2 separate regions of the Mus musculus genome follow, and region 2 is reported to be linked to region 1. Evidence: microRNA targets listed by miRTarBase, many of them from high-throughput screens and not tested one by one. Region 1 holds a microRNA gene; the other region holds the end of a gene's coding sequence.
What was found. Region 1 holds the annotated microRNA mmu-miR-7213-3p (UACCUCAAGAGAGCCAGUCU, at 1,380-1,399, shown strand). A microRNA usually pairs through its seed, bases 2 to 8, with sites in the 3' UTR of a target mRNA and lowers its output. Matches are read on the target gene's strand: a 7mer-m8 pairs with bases 2 to 8, a 7mer-A1 pairs with bases 2 to 7 and ends in A, and an 8mer does both.

Region 2: miRTarBase lists Tmem151b as a target of mmu-miR-7213-3p. Seed matches in the 3' UTR shown: 7mer-m8 at 1,281-1,287 and 8mer at 528-535.

Annotation. Positions count from the first base shown.
Region 1 is chr15:79,996,974-80,000,368 of GRCm38, reverse strand. Mir7213 (microRNA 7213) reads left to right here and starts at 1,343; the gene lies at 1,343-1,399. It overlaps Pdgfb (platelet derived growth factor, B polypeptide), which reads left to right. Exons shown (of 7, transcript NM_011057.4): 5 at 1-40; 6 at 2,665-2,813; 7 at 3,112-3,395. The coding sequence ends at 2,789.
Region 2 is chr17:45,541,759-45,545,153 of GRCm38, forward strand. It overlaps Tmem151b (transmembrane protein 151B), which reads right to left. Exons shown (of 3, transcript NM_001013749.2): 3 at 182-3,395. The coding sequence ends at 3,069. Tcte1 (t-complex-associated testis expressed 1) reads left to right here. Exons shown (of 5, transcript NM_013688.2): 5 at 1-921. Among named protein-coding and RNA genes, the nearest start is that of Tmem151b, 6.2 kb to the right of the region's middle.

The DNA.
Region 1 (3,395 bases):
CCTGTGACTAGAAGTCCTGGGACATCCAGGGAGCAGCGAGGTAAGCTGCCTTCCCAGGGGCTGCTCCACGTGGCTCAACCCAAGCCTCTTTCCCTTATAACAGCTGGGAAAAGGACGGGTCTCTAAATAGGGGTCAGGAGGCTAGGGAGAGCGCTCGGTGGGTAGAGTGTTTGCTGAGCACGCATGCAGACCTGAGTCTGAAACACCAGCATCCATATAAAAACCAAGGCATGATAGCTGTGCCTGTCACCCTGGTACTGAGAAGGTGGAGATGGGTGAATCCCAGGGGACCAGTCTAGCTGTTGGTTAGCTCCGGGTTAAGTAAGAGTCCCTGTCTCAGAAAACAATATAGGAAGACTTGATGTCAACCTCTGACTTCATACACACATGCACACACACGCACATACACACTGAGAGAGAGAGAGAGAGAGAGAGAGAGAGATCTAAACATATACCACACAGAAAAGACTTAAATGGAGAGCAAATACATTATTTCTGGTTAAATTTATTTGAGACTTTTGATCTCACTGAGAACAATCTAGATTCTTCTTGGCCCTAAATGAGGTTGCAGCGCCTGGCCTCACTACCAACCAGCCCCCTTCACTCACAACATCTCCTGGAGATACACAAGTAAAGGCTGAGCATCCATACAGCTGGGATGTGGAGAGTGGGTCTGACGTTCACGCATCCACCAGAGGAGTGCATGTCTGATTCTGCAAGGGTCAGGCAGTTCGGTTTGAGTTGGAAACATCTCAGAGGCTCCTTTCTCTGTGTAGCGGAAGTACCCGAAGTCTAAAGATGCTCAGATTTCCGGTCACATAGTCCAACCTCAGCCTGGCAGTCTGGCTAACTTATTTATTTTTATTTTCTGTGCATTGGTGTTTTGCCTGCATGTATGTCTGTGTGAGGGTGTCAGCTCTTGGAGTTGTAGACAACTGGGAGCTGCCCTGTGGGTGCTGGGAATTGAACTTGGGTCCTCTGGAAGAGCAGCCAATGCTCTTCACCTTCTGAGCCACCTCTCCAGCCCCCACGCAGGAAGAACTCTTTAAGTGTTAGAACCGGAAAGTTAAGAATATTGCGGGACTGGCCTCCAGGTTCATCTCTAGTAGAGCCTAGGCCAGTGCTGGTGTTTTGGAATTCTTAGGCTCAAATCTGTGTCATTTGTGAGTTGTGTGAATTGGATCAGGCTTAGCGCAGCCCAGCCTCCTGCACATGCCTTTTGGGGCAAAAGCTCTCTGGGGGGTGGTTTCCATGCCCCCTCTGGGTGTCATTCCCCCCCCCCCCCCGAGAATCTCAGCTCCCCCAGATCTCTACCCTGCAAGGAAAACTTCGTTCATCTCAGACTGGGTCTCTTGAGGTAGCCTGAAAGGAAGGGGGGCTACCTCAAGAGAGCCAGTCTGAGATGAACAGACAGGTACCAACCTCACCGGCTGGAGGCCAGGGACTCTCCAGTGTCTCCCAGGAAGTGCTGTCCCCTGCCTGTCTGACCTGGCTTCTCAGAACCCAGGAGGAAGAGCAGTTAGAGTCGGTCTGGTCCAGGATTCCCAGGAACTGTCAGTTCAGCCAGGTGCTGGCAGCATGAAGCACAGATAGATTGCAGGATTTCAAACACAGCTCTCTGCCTCAGTTTCCCCCAACACTGTAGGATGAATAAGACCAACCATGGAAATAAAGGAGTGTGTAGTGGCGCCAGGGACATTGCAGGTGCTCACTGGGGTTCCTGCTTGCTTTATGCGCTGTCTCAACTGTAGGAGGTCACTGCTGATTTTCAGAGTGGTTAAGTGCCTTGCCCCATGGCACACAGTATCAAGAAGAGCCCAGGTTTGGACCTGGGCTGACTCCTTGACTAAGTTGCCAGCCCAGCCCTCCATTCTGCTTCTCTGAGTGCCCAGGAATTTGAACAACAGGCACAGCTCCAAAGAAAGTCTGGTGGCCTCCTCATCTTGTGGCCAGAGGAGCCAGAGGTTGGCGGTATAGGTCTCAGTAGGAGAGATGGGAGGCAGAGGGTCACAGGGTGACAGGCCACCACTCACGGTGTATTGTGGCTGACATTCACCCTGCAGTTCTGTGCAAGAATGAGGCTCCTTGGAGAGCTGACTAGATTTTTTCTGCCGTCTGGCTGTGGCTGGAGGCAGCAGCTACACTGTGGTTCAAGAGCCCCAGTCCCCACATGACCTCTCCAGGCATGTAGTGAGACACGGTGCTTGAAGCACAAAGGAGAGCTGGGCCAGTCCTCTGAAGATGGGTGGGTACCCAGAGCCAATAGGACTTCCTGTTGGGTAGAGGGATCCAGGGCCAGGCCACCTTCAGGGAGTGGGAAAATCCATCTCTGAGTAGAGATGAGGACTTGGGGGCAGGGGGCAGGCACAAAACAGAGTTTCCTGGGTCCGGCACTGCTTGGCCGGCATGCTGCCTTGTAATCCGTTCTCCTTCCCATGAGGTGGGCTGTCCACCTGCTTCACTCCCAGAGAGAGGGGAAGGCATAGAAAGACTCAGTCACGTCCCCAGAGCTGGAGAGCTGTGGGGATTAACTTTGACCTGGTGAAGTCTGTCCTCTCCCTCAGCCATACCCAAGGCTCCCTCCCAGCAGGCACCAAGGTACAAGGAAAACACTCCATTGCTATCAGATGCTGACAAACACTACTTCTTCTTCTTCTCGAGCAGCCAAGACGCCTCAAGCTCGGGTGACCATTCGGACGGTGAGAATCCGCCGGCCCCCCAAAGGCAAGCACCGAAAGTTTAAGCACACCCATGACAAGGCGGCCCTGAAGGAGACCCTCGGAGCCTAGGGGCGTCGGCAAGAGTGTGGGCAGGTGAGGAGCCAACCAGAAAAAACAAGCCTCAGCTACTCCCTGGCTTTCAGCTACTCCCTGGCTGTGACTTAGACAGGCTCCGTGAGAACCAGCAGAGGCATTTGCTCCTGCCTAGCTGAGCCTCAACCTCTCTGAAACAGGGTGCCTGTCTCACTCAAATTTCCCATAGCTCCTCCGTCTCAGACTTGGGACCTGCTGGAAATCAGCATGGTGGCAGGAGCCCTAGCCCCTTGCCTTGGTATGGGGGCCACGGGGACCCTTGAGCTACCTCTGACGCTGTATCCTTCTCTGCCCACAGGGTTATTTAATATGGTATTTGCTGTATTGCCCCCATGGGGTCCTTGGAGTGATAATGTTGTTCCCCTCGTCCGTCTGTCTCGATGCCTGATTCGGACGGCCAATGGTGCTTCCCTCACCCCGTGTGCCCGGCCACCTCCACCAGCAGCGATTCCTCAGCCCGCCCTGCAGCTCCAGATGCAAAGGACTCCACTCCAGGCTGCAGGCTTCTCTTGACTCCAAGAACCTGGAACAAGTGTGCAGGAGCCTTGCCGGGGGACGTGGACTGTGGACTGGCCCCAGAGC
Region 2 (3,395 bases), not on the chromosome of region 1:
TACACACACACATATGCGTGTACACACACAGAGCAGAACTATGCCTGTCTCCCTCACCCTCCCACCCTCCCTGGAGATGCTACTTGCCTGACGTTGTCTGCTTGTACAGATCGCGCCCTCACTAACCCTCAAACCGGGAATGGGGGGGGCGGGGGGCAGAAGGATGGGGAACAAGTGTCACTGAGGGAGCAGACCAGTGAGTCATCCACACTTTTATTATCCATCAGTGTGATTTGTACAATCTTTGCGCTTGGAATTCCATGACAGAAAGGCCACAGTGTGATGCACCCAATTTGACAGAGGCCTGTCTTCTCCCGAGCCAGGCCTAGCCCACCCCACAAGCCCTTATCCTCAGGACATACAGTCTTCCAGGTACCCTCTCCTTGAGTCCCTGGCACGCTGTGACTGCCCACCATGGGGCCACACCCATAGGAATCACAGACTATGGATTCATGAGAGGATCTTGGCTGACTAATTCAAACTCTTATCTCCCAACTCTCCTCGGGCTGAGTGACCCAGTGCCCGTCTACCTCAAAGATGGGCGACTGCAGCTGCAATCCAAGAGGGCCTGCACTCCAGGGACTCTTTGCAAGAAGCAGGCGCTGAGTAGAGCACCAGAGGGGGCTTGGGAGTGACTGTGTGTGTGCCTGTCGGGGGCAGCCTAGAGTCCTCTGTGCCTGACACCCTCTGACAGTTCCAGAGTGCAAACATGTAGGTGTGAGGGTGTGTGTGTGTGTGTGTGTATCTGTATCTCTCTCTGTGTTTGTGTGTGTGTGTGTGTGTGTGTGTGTGTGTAGCCACAGCTGCTAGCAGAGGTTCTAATTAGAGAAACAAGAACATTCAGTGTAAAGTTTAATTTTAGAGATTAATTAATTTTCTGGTTTTCATTTTCCCTGGCAATCAATAAAGCTACCAAGAAAAGAAACCAAAGAATTGCTTTCTCTCTAAGTCTGTGCGTGTGTGTGTGGGAGGTGAGGCTGTCTGTGCAAGGAGACCTAGGCAGAAATGGTCAGGCAAAAATAATAACGGGGCTTCCCCACCCCCTCCTCTCCCAAGGCCAAGCTCAGTTTCTGGACCCAGAATGAAAGAGGATGAGCCAAGTCCTTCCCTCCTTGGAGCTGTAAGATGGCCAAGCTGCCCCTAAATGAGAACAAGACATTCAGGTACCAGTTGGCCAAGAACTGAGGCCTGAGGCCACAGCTCACTCAGTACCTGTGCTCCAATAGTCAACACCACACACACACACACACACACACACACACACACACACACACACACACACCTCAAATTCAGGGTCCTGGAGGGTTCTGTGCTAAGTGGCCAGAGGACACTGTTGCCCAGGAAACCCAGTGGTGTGCTTGCTCCCTTCTGCCCAAACCTATCCTTCTCTGACACCCCTCCCTCCTCACCCAAGCATCTCTGTATAACCAGAAAGCTCAGCCCCCATTTGAGCCCTAGACCATGGCATCCCCACAACAGGGCTTCCCACATTCCCCAGGGAAAAAGGGGACAGGGAGCCAGAGGAGATTTTTGCATAGGTAGGGGCCACTCCCATTGGTTGGCATAGGCCTGGCACAGCCAGGAGGAAGAGGGAAAGCCAAAAAGATGGAGTTCTGCTGGTGAAGGCAAAGCAAGAAGCAGAGGGAGCAAGATTGGATGGATGTGAGCCCAATCCCTGGGTACTAAGTCTGCTGGGAAAACGTCAGCCAGGGCAGCTGGGAGAGCAAGGGGCCAAACACAGACATGCACACTGGGGTGGAGGGGTAAGAGGGTATAGGGGAGAGCAAAGTTGGTGTCAGAGCTTTGAAGGGACAGGACAAAGGGCTGGTGCCCCGGGGCTGTGTCATGGAGCCCCTCTGAAGACCTAGAGCTTCAACTCGCTGGACAGGAAGAAGTGGAGGGTCTGGTGAGAACGGATCTCCTGCCACTGGAAATGGGTATCTCTCTAGCTAGGGTTTGGGATGGACTCGGCTCTATGGAGGCATGTGTGAGGGACATCCTTCTTAAGTGTTTGCTCCACTGCCTGCTGAGGAAAAGCTACAGCACGCCAGCCCATCGCCATCCCTCCAGGGCTAGTCTCAGTCTACCAGCCATTACTAACTCTACTCCTGAGGTCTCTCGACATCGGGGTGTGTCTCAGGCTCTGTCCACTTGCTCACTCACTCACCCCTGGCGGGCTTTAATGAGGACCTCCAGGATGGCCTCCCTGACGGAAGCACCTACCCAGAACCTAGGGGAGGAAGCAGCTGATGGACCGGAGACTGAGTCTTTTCCAGAAAAGGCCTGCGGAGCCCTCCCAGCCTCCCTTCCCTTGCCCTGCACCCTGACAACAGCTCTTCAGAGCCGGTAAGCCCCGAGGTGAGTGACGTCATTGGTGTGAGGAAAAGTCCCTCCAGGACCGGACCTCTGGGGCTCAAGTGAAACAAACAACAGTGCTGAGTGTGGCTTTCCCAGCGGCGGCGGGAGGCAGCGCCGAGAGGCCAGAACTCTTTCAAGGTATGGAGATGAATACTGGGCTGCCATCTGGCCCCACCCTCAGACCCGGGAACACAGTTGCTGGCTGGAAGCCAACTCTGCTGCTCTTCACCAAACCACCGCCCATCTCCACGGGGAGCCAGGGCAAAAAAAAAAAAAAAAAAAAGCCCCAAGTGCTTTGCCTTTCTTGGTACCCACCATGATGGCTCCCTTGGTTGGGAGGCCAGAAACGGGTCCCACAACATACTAACAGTCAAGACTCGATGAAAGCCTGGAAGGGAAATCTCGAGTGTGCATGGGAAAGGGGGTGTACCCCCCTGCTGGAACTCGGTGAGGACTGGGAGAGAAACACCTCTGCCCAGGTGGATGGGATTCTTAAGAGAGCTGCCAATCTCCCAGCCTCTGTCTGTGTACAGGGAAGCAGTCTCAGATCACTGAGGTCTTGTCTGAGAGTGCCCCTCACCTCCTGCCTTCCCTCATACCCTGCCTGGCCTTAGCCACCATCCTGCCTTCCCCTGCTACACACAGGGAGCACAACACAAGGAGAGGCAGGAAGGAGAACGGCGGCGCAGGCTCCCTCCAAAGGCAGGAGGTCACAGTGAGGTCTCCACGCAGGAGCCATGGCGGTGCAGTGACCGGTGGCTGTGGCCCAGACACCCCTCCTGCCGATGGACGATGAGGACAGGGAAGCAGAGGGCGTCCTGGTAGGGCGGCGGTGGCCCGGCCTCCTCCTCGTCCTCGTCCTCCTCGTTGTCCCGCATGCTGGCCTGGCTCGACAGACGCGTCTGCTCCGTGGGGCAGCTCGCCTCGTTGACACTCCCGCTCCGGCTGCGCCACAGGCAGCTGCGCCGGGAGCCGTAGAGGCGGCTGAGCGAGAAGCGGCTGCCCCCACACCCCGCGCTCGCTCCAGGGCCCTGGGC